Linked DNA regions of Drosophila melanogaster. The protein of the gene in region 3 interacts with the protein of the main gene of each other region in a pairwise test. Each region holds a gene or a part of one and is shown on either strand. Other genes may lie near its edges. The genes, in order: CG9825, Dpm3, CG13068 and CG6126.

Region 1 (4,455 bases), on a different chromosome or scaffold from region 3:
TTCGCGTGGTTATGGGCTTGGCACAGGGACTAGTTTTTCCCTGTATTCATCACCATTTGGCCAAATGGTCACCTCCGGCGGAACGAAATCGGTTGGGAGCTCTTAGTCACACTGGGATGGAGTGCGGCAATGTAAGTGCCATGTTCTTGAGCGGAATGATAGCCAAAAGTGCCATTGGTTGGCCAGGAATATCATATGTCTCCGCAGGATTAGCCTTCGCCTGGTGTGCCATTTGGTTCGTTTTTGCCGCTGACAATGCAGTGGAATCTCGTTACATAACCCAGGAAGAACTCCACTATATCGAATCGTCTCTGAAGCACAATGAGGACTATCACAAGACCGTAATTCCCGTACCATGGATGGCGATTTGGACCTCGGCACCATTTCTTGCTCTTACGCTGACGCGTTGTTGCGCGACCTGGGGTCTGAGCACCCTCCAGGCCCAAATCCCAACTTATATGAACGGAGTTCTGGATATGGACATGAAAAGCAATGCATTCTTTTCGGCATTACCATTTCTGGCCATGTGGATTATGTCGTATGTGTACCTGATAATCGCCGATGTTCTGCTCGCCGGAAACAGGCTGAGTTTAACGGCCCTCCGGAAGACCTTCAACTCGTTGGCCTTCTGGATTCCTTGTGCCACTTTGATTGGAATCGGATTCCTGGATCAGGAGCAGAAGAACCTGGCAATTGCTTTGATGACCATCAGTGTCGGTGTCAACAGTGGAGCAACAATCGGAAGCTCCTTGAACACCATAGATCTATCCCCGAATCATGCGAGTATTCTAATGGGAATCTTGAATACGGCTGTTACTGTAGTGCCTATAGTAACCCCTTTGATTGTTGGAGTTATTGTTCATGAAGACGTAAGTTTGCACTGTTAGTGTTTATAAACAGGGCAGTGATAAATAAGTATAAATAAGAAGACTTTCTGTTGATTGTTTCAGGATAACCGTGCTGAGTGGCAGATAGTGTTCATAATTGCGGCAGTACTTTTTTTTGTCGGAAACTCGGTGTACCTATACTTTGGAACGGCTGTTTCACAACCCTGGGATGCTGAAGACTACCTCACAGTAAAGGTGCCAGAGCTAGCTAAAGTTCCAGCTATCCATGAAGCTGGTAAAGGTATTGATGACCTTCCACGAAGTCCTTGAATTGAAGTTCTATCGATAGCACTTAAGTCTTCAGTTAACATAGAAACTATTTAAAACAACAAAGCAATCAAAATAATTTAGAGTATTATTATTAAATTTAATAAGATTTAAGATCTACATCAGTACATTTCATTTGTTTATTAAACGTATAAGTAAAACGATTTGTTTGAATTAAAATGTTTGAGCGTTATTTGCTTATCAAAAGTCGTCAAATTTACCAAAGGTGCGGCCATAAATCAATCCAATAATGGTATGGCAGTAACTACTCTTGATATTACCAATTGATTTTGGAACGCCACACGACCAGGCAATGCTGTTCTAAACAACCTCGTTTAACAGTAGAAAAGGAACTGCAGGTAGGATATTTTCGTCAAGATATCTAAAATTAACTATTAAAGGTGCAAAACCTTGGCTTCTTTCTTGACTAAGTAACCTGAAGGCCGAAATGCCCACCTATTCGAAAAAGGGTTCTCGATATGGCCATGAAAAAGCAATGCATTCTTTTTGGCGCTAACATTTTAGGCCATGTTGCTTATGTGGCATCTATCTTTTACCGAATCGTGCCAGAATCCTTACTAGAATTGTAGAAATGGATGAAAATAATGATTTATTGATTGATTTACAATATTCTGACTAATGACATAATAACTAGTTTGTAAAGTACAACAATTTTTTAATGACGCTTTTTAATTCAATGGTTAAATTCGCCCGCTGTATGACCTTATCACCTGACGTGTCGTATCAGATAAGCAACATTTGGCTTATCGTCTAATTCAATTTGGATTTAAATCCACTCTATGTTCGTGGTCTCACTCACTTAACTTCCCACAGTGATTCCGATCGGTCGTTTAAAAGAAGTCAGGAGGTGTTTTGTTGACCAAATCAAAAATGACGGCCGAGACAAACAAAGGTGCGTGAAAGGAAATCCTTCGGTTCGGATAAGAGTTTGTGAATGAATTGACACCCAACGAACTTGACACAGTGGAAAACCCCTTCATGGCTCAGACCTTGCACTCCGTCTGATTTCTGGGCTTTTCGCACACGCATTGAGTGGTCATAAATTACTACAATAATGGCGCGATAACCGAGTCTCAAGAGCAATTCAGACTTATTTACCCAACTGTTTGTAGACAGGAAGTAACAGTGATAATACCAGTTCGTTTTGTTATTGCAGGACCCGTTCTGGGAATGAGGCATGTCCAGGCGCTACTGATCTTCCTCAATATAACTACCGTATTCATAGGCCGCCTAAATGTGGGCGTGTCTGTGGTGGCAATGACCAATGCGGAAACCACGAACCCGAACTTTCCGGTAAGAATAGGGATCCTATCAAGAAAATACCACTTAGCTTACTAGATTCTCTACTAGGAATACGATTGGACGGAGGCAGAGAAGTCGTACATTCTCTCCAGTTTCTTTTGGGGCTACATCCTAACGCAATTCCTTGGAGGTTATCTCTGCAAGCGCTTTGGAGTCAAGAGTGTAATGTTTTGGGGTGTCTTCGGATCTGGTGTCTGCAGTGCTTTGACGCCGCTGTTCATCGGATTTGGAGAATGGCAGGCCTACTGTGGAATTCGAGTTCTAATGGGATTGGCCCAGGGAGTGGTATTCCCCTGCATTCATCAGCACCTGGCTAAATGGTCACCGCCCGAGGAAAGAAATCGGTTGGGAGCTCTGAGTCACACTGGAATCGAGTGCGGCAATGTGAGTGCCATGTTCCTGAGCGGAATGATAGCCAAGAGCTCCCTGGGATGGCCCGGAATCTCATATGTCTCGGCTGGAGTGGCCTTCTTCTGGTGTACATTATGGTTCGTCTTCGCTGCCAACCATCCTACGGAATCTCGTTTCATAGGAGAGAACGAACTGATCTATATTGAGTCGTCTCTAAAGCACAATGAGTCATACCACGCTACCATTATACCCATTCCCTGGAAGGCAATTTGGACGTCGGCACCATTCCTGGCCCTGCTCATAGTACGATGCGCTGAGAACTGGGGACTGAGCACTCTGCAGGCCGAGATCCCATCCTATATGAACGGAGTCCTCGACATGGACATGAAGAGCAATGCGTTCTTCTCGGCACTCCCATTCTTGGCCATGTGGTGCATGTCGTATATTTACCTAGTCGTAGCCGATGTGCTCTTGGGCAAGAACTCGGTGTCCTTGACGATTTTGAGAAAGACCTACAACTCCATTGCCTTCTGGATTCCTGCTGCCACTTTGGTGGGCATTGGCTTTTTGGACAAGGAACAAAAGAACTTCGCGATTGCTCTGATGACCATCAGTGTGGGCGTGAATAGTGCTCAAACCATTGGCAGTGTTTTAAACACAATTGATCTATCGAAAAATCACGCTAGCATTCTAATGGGAATTGTGAATACAGCGGCGAATTTCGTGCCCATAGTCACTCCTTTAGTTGTTGGATGGATTGTTAAGGAAAATGTGAGTGCTTGCAAAAGTTGGTAGGAAGTAAAGATTTTTAATTGCTTATTGTATCCTTTCCTTTCAGTCTGATCGCTCCCAATGGCAGATCGTGTTCATCATTGCCTCCGTAATCTTCTTTGTGGGCAATTGCATTTACTTGGTGTTTGGCACGGCCGAAACTCAGCCCTGGGATGCCGAGGACTATCTGCAGACACAGAACCCGGAACTTGCCAATAGACCACCTATGCAGGCGTTATCCTTTCCAATTAACGAAAATTCCAAAGAGAAAATTAATAGTAAAAGCCATTAATTCTTAACCCATTTAACGCATTTATTTTTTAGACTAGTCTGGATAACCAAATTTACATTTTAGCATTTGGTTTTTATTTGTTCACTTTAGTGGTCTAAAAATCATAACTTGGTAGAGAGATAGCAAACGATTCTTTTATCTATAACTGACACTCAAATTGAGTTATTCTTGATATTTTGAAAATGCCATTGAGGGCGACATCACTAAATATTTTTAATTACAAGTCCGCAGTCTCAAGAGCTAGTCAGCTATTATTGTTTTGATTGCTCGAAAATATAGACATATTCTTGTGTTTAAAATTCCCTTAGTTACCGTCGCTAGTAGACTGAATTATAGAGCATTTAGTTCTGCAGTTCATTTTTAAGATGCCGTTTGCGAAGACCTAAAAATATTATCTTACGTACAACGATCTCGTCATTGCACTTCTCGCCATATGATTTGTGATAAAAAAAATTGGCAATGCCCACAGTATCACTAAATGGTACACACCTTTATGGTTTCTTTGGAACAAAAATTTAAGGCGCGACCTATAACTTTAGTAAGTGACTCATCGTTCGAAATGAA
Region 2 (3,035 bases), on a different chromosome or scaffold from region 3:
TTTTCACTTAATAAGTGCTGAGGTCGTGTTAAATTTTTACATTCATTCGCATTTATAAAATTATAAGTAATAAATCATTAAATAAAGATTCTTATCTTTGGATTTAGCAATGATAGGACTTAAATGTATTGCAACATTTGTTCTATTACCACATAGCTTAAGTTTCTCTGAGTGCACTTTGAGATTGAAGGCTAAGAACTTTAGGGCCTACCTGCACATCTTTAGTCTTCGGCAATCGTTTGAACCGCGCGGAACTGTCACTTAGCAGGTTCTCATTTGATAGCCATGTTGGTCGTCCTGCTCGCATTATTTTGTGCAGTCCAGGGCCAGGCATTGGTCCTCAAGGAGCTGCACACCCTGCATCAGTGGACGAACCTCAGTTTGGGCGACGATCTGTCCAAGGGCAATCGCTTTCTGCCGGTGGATGTGGACATTGAGTACGGCGATGAGGGCAGGCATCGCACCTTTCTCACGATTCCGCGACTGGGGATGGCCACACCCTTCACACTGGCCACCGTCATTGCGGAGCACAATGAGCTGGTGGAGAATCCCAGACTGGAACCGTATCCCAACGAGGAGTGGCACGTGCCACCCAACAATTGCTCCGGCATCACCTCAGCCATTAGGACTTATGTAAGTAATAAAGCATATTTTCCCAACAGAAGATATTTCATGAATATTTATCGTTTTCTCCCAGATCGACGAGTGCTGGCGACTCTGGGTGGTGGATTCAGGGCAGGTAAACTCCCTGCAGTTGTGCCCGCCACAAATTCTCACATTTGATTTGGTGAAGGACGAACTAGTCCAACGACACGCACTTCCGCCCGATTCCTACATTCCCAGCGTATCCATCTTCACGGCTTTGGTGGTGGATCTGGCCGAGAGGGGCACACCCAACCGATGTGTTGGCGGCAGAGCGTATATAGCCGATGCCTGGGGTTATGGTCTAATCGTGTTTGACTCCCTGACGGGACGATCCTGGCGCATAGAGCATGAGTCCATGAAGCCGTCGCCCTTGCTGAGATTAGGACGCTCCAGCAACTCGCAGGCGGGAATATTTACAGTGAGCCTCAGTCCCAGCGAAGTGGAAGGTAGCTATTCAATTTAAATTCTAAATACTCAAAAATTATTTATAATTTCCAATGCAAATTTACAGACCGCTTTCTGTACTTTCACACGCTGAACTCCTTTAATGAGATGAGGGTTCCGCTCTCCCTGATCAACAACGAGACCTTCTGGAAGTCTGCGAATGCCAGCAGGGATAGCTTCCACAGCCTGGGCACCCGAGGAATCCAGTGCGAATCGGAGGTGATGGATCAGTCGGGGAATCTCTACTGCAGCCTCATCAGTTTAGGGGCGCTGGTGAAATGGGAGGAGTCCGTGTCCAACTACACGGCGGATGACCTGCGTGTGGTGGCCTACAATCCGCACAAGATCAAGTTCGTCACGGGCCTCAAGATCAACAGGAATTCCAAGGGAGAGGAGGAGCTGTGGGCCTTGAGCAGCCAGCCGAAACTCTTTGTTGGCGGCGACTTGCCCGCGAACGAGGTCAAGTTCCAAATAATTGGCTGCCGAACCGCTGACCTGCTTGCCAACACGCCGTGTACAGTGGGCGCCGCAGAAACCACGCCCACCAACGTTTAATTAAAACTTAGTTTTAACAAGTTTGAAACTGCGTCAATCGATTACTCTGATTTAAATTGCTGGCTGTAGAAGGCTGGCTGTTATGGCGCAACTTTGATCTATCGATAAATTGCTGACTGTGTTTAGCTGAGTAGTATGGCATTTGATTTGCTGACTGTGGATAGCTTTGTGCTATGGCACGTGCTTAGGGCTTGGTCACACTTAAGTTAGCCAATTAGAAAAGTAAACAATGTCTAACTGGAAGCCGTCAGGCTACGAATTACTAATTAGAAAATCTCCAACTAGACATGAATAGGAAAACCTCTAACTAGATTTGAATAGGTAAACCTCCTATCGATAGTAGCCGGTAAATATCGATATCGAATTACCGGGTGACCATCGGCTTAAGTTCCAGCTCTATGTTTACGTGTAGAACTTTATTTTCGGTTTAGTTTTGTTTACCAATAAATTTCGTTAGCTATGACAAATCTACAACGCTGGCTATTTTACGCATCGCTCTTTGCGATTCCCTATCTCTCCGTTGTTTTGGGAACAGTGCAAACGCCACTAACTACCAAGTATTTCCTGCACATTCAGCTTTTACCACTTTTGCTCCTCGTGATTTTTGGAGTGAGTTTTTGGATATGAATCAATGCAGATAACACCTCTTATTGACTACTACTATATATTACCCACAGATATATTCCGTTTGGACTGTTCTATATAGAACTCTGACTTTTAACGATTGTCCCGAGGCCGCCAAGGAGCTGCAGGATGAAATTCAGGAGGCTCGCAAGGATTTGATAGCCAAGGGATTTCGGTTTCGAGATTAGGAGACTTCCAGCTCGTAGGACTTGTGCATGTTAATCTGTAATTCCATTATTTATAAAAACAAAAATTACGCAAATTTACTCTAGACCGCATTTTGTGTGGGCGGACGCGTTGTTGGGGGCTGATTTCCCCAGGTGTCGGAAGTTTGGTGGCCAAATTATGTTGAGGTTTTGAAAGGATATGCTTGAAAAAGTATGGAATATGTTTATGTTTAATTGGCTTAGCTCCCCTGTGAATTACTCAAAATAAAAAATATAAGAAAACTAAAAAAGTATATGAGGTAAAATACGTTTAAAGAGATTAATAATATTCTTTACGGAAAACATATTTTTACTTAATGAACATGGTATATGGAAAACTCGTAAGTGCGAACCATATATTGCAAATCCATGCTTTGGCTATCTATTTCCAATAAATCAATTTTTTTAAAATTCTCTTAATTACAATGCGAAAGAGAAAAAAATATACTGTTTCAAAACTTTAATTTTCTCTTCTGCAAAATACTGGAAGGAGTTATAATTGCGAAGCTGAATGTTGTGATACTCAAAAGATCCAATATAAACCGATTAATAGCCATTTGA
Region 3 (2,785 bases):
ATATCTCATTGTAGGACAAATCCAAACGCATCAGAACATTGGCGCCAATAAACACAGAAGTCTGGATAGATGTCAGATTATTGTAGGCCAGATTCAGATAGGTGAGATTACTCGCAGCACTGAATGCATTTCTCGTTAGCTCCAAAATATTCGTATTCGAGACATCGAGGGTCTTGAGATATGGGAATGTTTCGAATAGATGGAAGGGCATATAGAGCAGCGTTGATTCGTAAAACTTCATGAACTTGACCATATTTCCGGGTGGTATGTTCTTGATCACGACATTTTGACTGTGTGTGACCGTGAATCCGGTGACCGTGCAAAACGCCTCATTCACGTCCATGTATCCCATGGAATCGTACTCGTCGCATCGCAGGGGGATATCTCCTCCACTGCCATCACAACTCGATATCGCTAGAATAAGGATAACGATCACTTCGAGTATCCTTCGCGTTCTATTCATCTTTTTTACGAACCGCTCGCCGCCAAATAACTTTGTAAACTGCATCAGTGGAATTTCGCAGACTGCCATTCCAGCTTCCACTCCATTTGTATTTACATATAATATTGTATTCATTGATTAAACTTTATCTCGCTCCTCCGCAGATTGCCAGCTTTCAGTAGTCCAGCGCAATAGTGATAACATATTGTCGGTCTGCACTTTGTTTTGTTTATACTTTTATAATGCACTACATTATAACGGTCATTTCAAGACGTGATCTCATAAATGCATTTAATAATAGAAAAAGGTTTTAAAACGAATATATAAAATTTGGGTATCTTACGATATCTTTCTAAATATTGTCATTATATCAATTTTGGTAATATGTTTATACATATGTCGTGTAGCTAGACATTCTTCTGCTTCTGGTTTTCAAGATTAGAAGTATATGTGGTTAATTGAGTACAGGGTATTCCGAGGTCGTCCTCTCCCCAAAAGAACTTGCCCTGTAGGAACCCCTACATGTCTGGCTTCATTTTGCTTCAGAGATATAAGCCCATACAGGCACGTTTCGATTGTGAATGGACTGGTAAGCTGAGCTTGACTCTTATTAAAAGCTGTCTGCTAACTTTAGAGCCTCAGTTATCTGGCGACCCCCTCGAAACTGCATCTTGCCATGCAGTTTGTTGACCTTACGATGCGAATGTAAACGTAACTGGCGTTTTTTGGCTCGTGTGTGAGATTGACCGCATTGCATCAGTCAAGCGGATTAGATTTTGGCCGAAACAAAGAACGGGCACGATGACATGGTTTTGATTGCATAAAGACCATTGCAGCCGACGGACGTAACCCTGAAACAATGCGCTCGCAATCGGATTGAAGCGTGCAATTCCATTTCATTGATTCCTGGCCAACTCTTGGCGCAGGAGGTTACTCATCGGCAATTAGCCGTGTCTGGTGGCATCAATCACATCGGGCTACTGGTCACCTTCGCGGCGACATCTTTTATGGGCCCACAATGCGGACGTGCCCGAAATAATGAATGGGTTTGGTCTTGCATTCAGATTCGGATTCGGATTCGGATTGGAATCGACCTCCGCGGGCGGCGGGAACGTAGCCAAACGGCCAATTGAGCTACTGAAAGGCCGCTCTGCATTCCCATGCAGGTGGTATAGAATCATTCGCCCCATTATCGTGTGTGCCCAGAAAGTCAAAAGCATCTATGCGATTTCCCGGTGCTATAAAAGTTGCATGTCGGATCGAATCAAGTCATAGTCCAATTTGCTAGCTCAAATCAAACTAAACTAAACCATCATGTTCAAGCTGGTGAGTTGGTGGTTTCTCCATATGGATACAGATATCTGGAGTATTATATTAACTGGTTATTTCCGTACAGTCTGCCCTCGTTGTCCTGTGCGCTCTGGTGGCCTGCTCCTCGGCTGAGCCCAAGCCCGCTATCCTGGCCGCCGCTCCAGTGGTTGCAGCTGCTCCTGCCGGCGTGGTCACCGCTACCAGTTCGCAGTACGTGGCCCGCAACTTCAACGGTGTGGCTGCTGCTCCAGTTGTTGCCGCTGCCTACACCGCTCCAGTTGCCGCCGCTGCCTATACCGCTCCAGTTGCCGCCGCTGCTTATACCGCTCCAGTTGCCGCTGCCTACTCTGCTTATCCGTATGCCGCCTACCCTTACAGCGCTGCATACACCACTGTTTTGTAAAACGGATTAACAAGTATTCAAAACGGATTTGAAATGGAATAAAAATAGACCCGACTGGCAATAAAACAAATCAAACTAAAAGCTTAAAAATATTATTCTGGAAATGGGAACACCAAGTTCTGTTTTTCAATAGCAAAAAAGCTATAGTTATATATTATTAATACTTTTTAATGGATTTTCTACTATTAATTATTATTTCTCAATCTTTTGGCGGCAACAAAAGTTCTTGATAGTATTTAAAAAGAAAGTCACCTAAACATATACGTTTTTTATAATTAATATTTTTTTACTGTCACCTTTTCTAAACCTTTTGTTCTGGCAGCGTCTGTTCTGCCCACTTAAAATGCGGAAATGTAGCCCGAAAAAATACCAATTCAGTTGCGTCATCATCCATTGACAAATCACAGATGGCAAAAGTGATAGATTTCTCGAAATGTATAGGTAACCGGCATCTCTGGTAGGAGAATCACGTGTTGGCCATTTAAAAATTGCCGACTGAAAGTTGCGTCAACCCGAATAAATAATTATGCATGTGCGTGTCTAAAAATATATTTCTGGCTTAAAGCGGGCAATAACGAGTAAAATAGCAACCATAACAGGGAAAGGATTCAACAGGAGGGACAACAGTG
Region 4 (7,553 bases), on a different chromosome or scaffold from region 3:
CATACATACGTTTATAAATCTATATGCCTACGTGTAGTTAAAATTTAAATTGAAAATATATTCAAATTCGAAATGAATGTTCTCAAATGTACCAAACAAAACAAAATGAAGAATTACCAAACAAGAAACAAAAACCGAAAAACCAAAACTCTCTCTTTAAACAAACTTTAATTGGCGGGTTAAACATCATGTGGAGCAAAGGGAAGCGATGGGTTATGGATTTGACATTGGAAATCCCTGTCGGCAATTGGCAATTCGATAGTGCAATTGAGTGGAAATTACTGAAACTTTGCAAGGCCAGACGAACCCGAATTGGCTGTGTCGGTCGGAGAATAAACTTTAATTGGAAATAGTTGGGAAATAATTTTTTGGTGTGTACTGGTTTTACCGTAGAGAAAATTGAAATTCAAGCTATGAATCTGCGCCTAAATTGATAGAGCCTAAAAGTAGACAACACTAATCAGTAAAAATGCTCGTCAAGCATTTAAATTTCCTTTAAACTAAATTTTACCACCGAAAAAATTAAAAGAAAAAATCCGTACAAACAACAAAGGGACACTCAGAAATGAGTGAATCCACAAATTAGGATTCCCCATATTCTGCACATCGTTTTATTCGCTTGGAATGAATAGAAACTATTAAATCTTACTACTAGGCAGAAGAGTAGAATTCTTAACAAGAAAACACAGGGTAACAAGGAATTTAAGCTGGATTTTGGACTTGGGAAACAATCGTCTTTGGCTAGGTTCTACTTGCTCTCGATGTTCTTGAGCGGCACCATTTGCTCCGGATCGTCGGGATATACGCTATTCTGGCGCTTTTTGCGACCAGCACACTGACTGAACCAAGTATCTCCCTTTCCGAAGTTCTCTCCATCCTCAATGGACTCGGGCATGGGCTGGTTCATTGTCTCCGGCAGGAACATAACCCAGAAGCCCGAGATCAGGGCCACCACGCCGAACAGCACGGCCGGTATCTTCGGATCAAATGAGTCCAGCAATGTAATGAGCGGAGTAAGGGCTCCCGACAAACGGGCACACATCGATCCCAATCCCATGGCCGAGTTCCGCACCACGGTGGGAAACAGTTCGGCTGAGTAATTGTAGATTACGGCAAAGGAACCGGCGATGAGGAGCTTTCCTGCCATTACCACCGCCGTGGAGGTGGTGCTGCCCTGGGCAATGTAGGCGGCCACAATGCAGCATAGACCGCCACCCAACATCAGGGTGGAGGTGATCGATCGACGACCCAGGCGATCTAGGACGAACACAATGGTTATGTAGCTGGGGAACTCCACGAGGCCCATGATGAACAGGATCAGGTAGGGATTTCCATACAGCTTGCCGGCACTGAGCGATAGTCCGTAATAAACCAGAGAATTGGCGAACCAGCAGAGGCACACGTTCAAAGTCTTCATCCTCAAGTTGGGCGTGCGGAAGAGGTCGCTCAATCCGGCGCTGGATTTTTCTTCGGCCGCCGCCTGCTGTTTGGCTTTCTGCACATAGTACTCCTTGTCCACCGGGATGCCCGATCCGTTGATTCTCAGGCCCTTGGCCACAATATCCACCGCCTCGGCGGCACGTCCCTGCATCCACAGCCAGCGCGGAGATTCATCGAGCCACCACCAGTGGCCCAGGAACAGACAGCCATGCAGTCCGTAGATCACTTGGAGCCACTGGCGGTCAGGGATGAGTGCTCCCCATCCGGCCACCAACATGATGCCACCAGCGAAAACAGCCTAAAAGTATTGCATGGTATAGCCAGTTTAAAAAATGCAAAATCTATTGAAGTCTTCCTCACCTGGAAGGTAATGCCGCACACAGTACGCTTGGTAGGTCCCACCAGTTCCATGGTCAGCACGAACCCACAGATGTAGGCACCCGCTGATCCCACAATGCCCAGCAGGTAGCGAGCCACCATGAATGAGAAGTACTCGGGAATGAAGGCCACACCCACACCGATGATCAATTGGAACAGGGCCGACCAGCAGAACACGGTTTTCCGACCCACTTTGTCGGCGAGTCCGCCAAGGGTGACTGCGCCTGTGAACACGCCCAGCATGAACACGGTCTGCACAATGGCTCCCATCCAGCGGCGATCGCACACAAAGTTCCAGTCGATGGTGCGCGAAGTCTTGTAGTACGTCGTGTCGTATACGTAACGTTCGCAATTGATGGTGGTATTGGTGCCAGGACTACTGGGATCGAACATGAGGCAGGACTCTAGCTCGCCATTGGGCTTCAGCGGAATGGCGGCCAGGATAGCGCTCGAGTTCCATGGTGTCACCGACAAGCTGCTGTTATCCACGCCCTCGATGAAGCAGCGATGCTCAGGCACGGCGGCCACCGTGACCAGCGATAGCATGTGCATGCCAGCGGTCAGGCCGGAGAGCACCTGCAGGAAGAACTGCAGGAACTGGTACTTTCCAAACTCCCCTGCAATTGGATAGAAAAAAATAGAAAGACATTTCACAATCATTAATGTCTTGGGAAAGGTTATGAGCGCACAACAAATGTGAGCTTTCAGCAACATGATAGATAGTGATAATCTGTAGCACCCATGAATCACCCAGTTTACGATTAAATATAATAAAAAGAAAGTAAGTTGAGCTGAAAACGGAAGTTGTTCTAGCTCAAATTATTTAAAACGGTTTTTTATTTCAGTATTTGAATTTGAACATCACGTAGCTGCGATAAAAACACAACCCAAAGAAACAGCCGACTTTTATGTAGATGGGAACTTTTAATGGGTATCGCTGGAATTGTCGTCACTCCAAAGGCTTTGCAATTAAATCAAGTGGAATTTATTCAATTCGATTTCAATTGAAGCGCATTCGCCTAGCCCGTCAAATATTTGCCCACAGTTTGGTTTGGTTTGGTTTTGGTTTCGAACGCCATGAAAAGAGACTCGGATGTCTTGGGAGAATGCACTGAATCGATTATGACTTGGCTGGTCAGTCAGTCCATGGCGATCGCGTTGATGGGAGGCCAGGGGCTGTGTAAATTTCTAACGACATGGACAGTATGTAGCCTAGATACGAGAATTTGACACTTGATCACGGTCCAATGTTCAATCAGCCGTTTCAATTGATTTGTGGGTTACGTTTATTGATCGTTTAAACGAAACTCTTGCCATCAAATGAAAAGTTACGTTCACCCCGGTTACGTTGCAATCGACAAATCATGAGTAAAACGTCTGAGAATTTTCATTTTTCATTATTAAAACGATTGCGTGAAGTGTAAAATTATGTCATCGGGTTGACTTAATTAATCTCAATTATAAAATTTGACTCTACGCCTAATGAAATTCAATTACGCCCCCAATAGACATAATCAGCGTATAATTGAGCACAATCTAGGAAATCGATTGGCCAAATTTGTGATAACTAAACTCGTAATAGTAAATACTAATGTGGAACTCATAGCGGATTATCAGAGGCCACCAAATGCTAGATCATATATCAGTGATATTGTTGCTTCAGATTTATTGCATCCGTCCAATATAACTAGCCGTATAATTGTTGCCAAGTGGCCCTTGAATACGACATTTGTTTTTGGCCCTGTCAATGTTTGTTGTTCTCTTAATCGTAAGCCATCTATTATGATGTACAAAACCAACAGTTTGCACATTAAAATGAATATGGCGCAGGTTTGGACCGTTGTTTATTCTGGGCAAACTTTTTGAGCGATAAGTGAGATGGATAAGAACACGGAATATTAAAAAATAATGCAGTCATATTTCTAACAATATTGCACATGTATATTAATCTACTGTTATTCTACTATCAACTGTTGCTTTATTTCAGAGTTGATTTCTTCAAAGCTTTTAAAATTTCCTTTGTGCTTAAGTATCATGATTCGAATAATTGAGGTAGATCATGGTTTTACACCTCCACTTTAAGGCTTCCTTCGGTTTTTGTTCATCCGTACTTCAACATTTTCACTTCCCGCGTTTACTAACAACTGAAGGTCGATTTAGTTCTGTTCTGTGCTCTCCACATAGCACGTGTGGAAGTGCTCTCAAAGTCATTTTAAGTTGCTGGTTTTATGGTAACCTTCTTACGTACAAATAACAACCAACTCAGCAATGCAACACGCCTCCAAATTCGAAGTAATTAGAGTTGCTGCTCGCCAATAGGCCTTCAACAAAGTAAACAGAAATAAAAGAGCGATATGTGAATTTTGATGGCTGAGGGAGGTATTGCCATATAGTTGAATGTGAGCAAACCAGTTTAAGGTTTTTTGCATTTCACAGATACAAATGTATGCGAATATATTACGAATAAAAAAGTCGCTAATGCGATTATTACTCCCTCTCTCCTGTCACTTTCTTATAGGCTGCGGTTTTGCGAATGCTTAATACAAAACCAGTTTCGGATTGTAAAAAACTGTTCTATTTTAATTAACGACAATTTCAGCACAATCGTTGACACAAATTTTATATTCCAACTCATATTTTATGTGACTCATAAATTTCTAATTTGTAGCCGTGACAAATAAAACTGTTTATCCATCGATCTTCCACTGTATTCCCACAATTAATCTTAACTATTTTGCATACTGCATATAAACACGCTTAATTTTGTAGCTTCCACAAGCTAGCTGCAATGTTTGAACCGCACAATTAGAGTATATAATAAATTATAAGCAAATACCCAGATATCCGTAGATCCCAAGATCTTTATGACGAGCCTACTTCACAGTCTTGTGACAGATACCGCCCCTTTTGCACCCGTTTTATTTTTGTTTGCCTGTTAGCCGCCACACTCGTTTTAGCGTCACTGTGCTAAAGCCAAGTAGGCTCAACAAGTGTCAGACAGCCTCCAGCTCAGAACTTGGCCCACACGAACATGTGTCGACTATATGTGTACATAAATACATACTTGGTATGGTATATAGTCAAAAGGGGAGCAACAGGTCGGAGTCTCTATCAAGCTGTCATAAATGTCTGTCACTTGGTGGCCTCGACGATTTATTAAATTAAGAATAGTGCAAAATGAAAATGAAAATAGTTGCAATTAAAAAAGTATTATAGTCGGCTTCTTTTGAGCACTTGACGTGACGGACAGCCAGCCGGATAGATTAGGCGGAGATTAAAAGCATAATACGGAAAAATTAATTATAGATTTTAAAAGCAGAACAGAAGGTTGGGCGGTAAACCTCATTGGTCGTCGTGAAACAAAATATTATCCATAGTAGCTTGCAACGCTGATAAGACCTCTCAAAATGATAAGCATAACGCCAGGCTCTTATCAGCACGGGATGGAGACGCCTGGCAACGTAACAGCTGACCTTTCAAAAGTCTTCGCTCCCAAAAGCCCATTCCACTCACCAAGTTTCCCCATCAGGTCCTCCAGTACATAATCCACAGCCATGTTTGATTTTTTATTGATAATCAAAAATAAATGAAAGTAACTGTTTGCTATTGCTTCTTAACAAATCGTCATCTTCTGCAGAAGTGGAGCATGTATGAATGGCACACCAGTGCAGCACTGCTGATAGTTACGGGTCGCGAAGATGCAAAACGAATCCGGGATAAACAACGTGCTCGAGTGAAACAAAATCGCAAACGGAGCGCTCGATCAGCTATCAACTCTTCCGACCGCCGGCAGCATTTGAACTGGCAAAAACTAACTGCGAACTGTGTCGCTCAGCGAGAAAACTGAGTGGTAAATGGCGATAAGGTCGCTCCAAGCTCGCGAGCGAAGAGAGCTTGTGGAGGTCTCCAAAGTTGGGAACTAAAGAGCAAACTCTGCTCGAGGGTAAGAGCTTCAAAAACTGTAATCACCATTATAATCCTTGATGTATGAAAATAAATGATGCCTCTTGGCAAGGATCCCTTAGATTAGAATACGATCAGAAAACTCATACCTTAGCAAGCTTTGATTTGCCTAACACTCAGTGACAAACAAAACATAAGTCACAAAAACACATACAAAAAATACATAAAATTCATTTAAAGTTAATTTTAAAATTATGTGTGAGCCAAACTTATCAGATCCGTCGACATTCCTGTACTTGGATATGCTGGCGGATATTTTAATGCAGGACAGCCTTGAAATGGAATCAGATTTCAATACCAAGTTAAAATTTCTTAAGGAACAGGAACAAATTTGCCTAGACAATGCCAAAAATGTGAGACTCAATGGCCATAGGCAAACAGGATATAAATTTTTCATACTCCAACAGGCACTTCCCATCGATGATACCCTGAGATCAGTAAAGTGCACCATGCTTAGGGTAGAAATGGAGCTGCATGAAAACGAGATTAACCTTATACAGGCGGAGAAAGCAGTTACGAAATTGGAGCAGAGCTATCCGAGTCCTGAGAGTCTGGCAGGCCAAGTGTTTCCTTTGGCAAGTACCACATATCAGGATTTGCTGAGTATGCTGATGTCTTCGAAAAAAACAGTCGATCATTGCAATCAGATCAAAGAGGAGGTCGCGACGTATAATGAGCAGATATCCGCAAAAGTACCTTCCGTAAATTTGGTATGAAATGATGACTAAAAGTTGTATTTAGAGTTTCTAAAGTGAGTGTATCAACAGGTAACCAAGCTTATCGATTACCACAATAATACACTGGAGTCTATGGAAAAAAATATCGAAAAATTGAAGAGCCAGGTCACACAAGTTCAAAAGGAGTTCGAGCAGCTTTATAACGAACATGCACGCCAATTCAACGCACCGTTCCCATGCAAAAAGGTCAAGGAGTTAAAACCAAAAGACACATGTGGAGTACGACTACGCATGTAATCTGATAACACAATATATCCAACGAATATTATAAATGCTTACAATGCTGCAAGTTCAACTTTTCGCTTAAGATTAGGTTTGGTGATCTGGGCTTAAATTTTAGTTGTTGGCATCACGGAAAAACAACACATCGTCGGCTATGATACTGGTGCTAGTCTTCTGGTTGCCCTGCTGGTCGGTGATCTCTCCATAGGTGATCTTTCCCTGCACCATGGTTCGCTGTCCCTTCTTCAAGTATTCCAGCACGGTGTCACGCAGATTGGGCTTGAACACCACTACACGATGCCAGTCGGTGCGTTGGGCCCAGTCGCCGTTCTCATATCTGTGGGGAAATATTTAAGACTTCATGAATGCTTTTTAAATGAAATGGTAGCTATTTTCTTTATGAAATCCGGCATTTCATGGATCCTAAGAAGAAATTGATCACTGAAGTTAATTGAACAAGGAAATGTACACTATTGCCGTTATCATTAGGTAATTACATACAGCAAATGTTCTAATAACTCATTACATAAATCTGAATTAGCAGCTCAACGTGATATTTTCTTGGAGGTTAAGGCTAAGAACTAACTTAATTGTCAACATTTATGTAGCTTTTTTATTTCCCTCCTCTGAGATGTGATTTCAAGTTCAGTTGCAGACGCATGCTGGGCGGCAAAACGCACACAAATGCACTTACTTGTAGTTGGTGTGTGTAGCAACCGAAAAGGTGACCACCGGATGCTCCTGGGATCCACGCAGCTGCGGATCGGCGCCAACTCGTCCCAAAATGGTCACCGTGTTGACAGCTGTGGTTAT

Evidence for each region.
Region 1: the proteins of CG13068 (region 3) and CG9825 interact in a two-hybrid assay, tested with the Drosophila melanogaster proteins (one large-scale study listed by BioGRID).
Region 2: the proteins of CG13068 (region 3) and Dpm3 interact in a two-hybrid assay, tested with the Drosophila melanogaster proteins (one large-scale study listed by BioGRID).
Region 4: the proteins of CG13068 (region 3) and CG6126 interact in a two-hybrid assay, tested with the Drosophila melanogaster proteins (one large-scale study listed by BioGRID).

The regions. Positions count from the first base shown.
Region 1 is NT_033778.4:22,835,391-22,839,845, forward strand, and holds CG9825 (uncharacterized protein), read left to right. Parts: upstream 1-1,970; 5' UTR 1,971-2,045; coding exon 2,046-2,067; intron 2,068-2,331; coding exon 2,332-2,468; intron 2,469-2,525; coding exon 2,526-3,599; intron 3,600-3,666; coding exon 3,667-3,891; 3' UTR 3,892-3,901; downstream 3,902-4,455. Other genes in the region: CG12490 (uncharacterized protein), read left to right, coding at 1-869, 951-1,157.
Region 2 is NT_033777.3:13,402,057-13,405,091, reverse strand, and holds Dpm3 (Dolichyl-phosphate mannosyltransferase subunit 3), read left to right. Parts: upstream 1-2,040; 5' UTR 2,041-2,103; coding exon 2,104-2,253; intron 2,254-2,321; coding exon 2,322-2,456; 3' UTR 2,457-2,533; downstream 2,534-3,035. Other genes in the region: yellow-e3, read left to right, coding at 286-633, 698-1,091, 1,157-1,644.
Region 3 is NT_037436.4:16,267,679-16,270,463, forward strand, and holds CG13068 (uncharacterized protein), read left to right. Parts: upstream 1-1,713; 5' UTR 1,714-1,756; coding exon 1,757-1,768; intron 1,769-1,838; coding exon 1,839-2,156; 3' UTR 2,157-2,233; downstream 2,234-2,785. Other genes in the region: CG4950 (uncharacterized protein), read right to left, coding at 1-463.
Region 4 is NT_033777.3:16,197,460-16,205,012, forward strand, and holds CG6126 (uncharacterized protein), read right to left. Parts: upstream 5,625-7,553; 5' UTR 5,375-5,624; coding exon 5,332-5,374; intron 2,436-5,331; coding exon 1,801-2,435; intron 1,739-1,800; coding exon 749-1,738; 3' UTR 541-748; downstream 1-540. Other genes in the region: CG31287 (uncharacterized protein), read left to right, coding at 5,976-6,134, 6,189-6,491, 6,549-6,755; mtSSB (mitochondrial single stranded DNA-binding protein), read right to left, coding at 6,855-7,077, 7,435-7,543.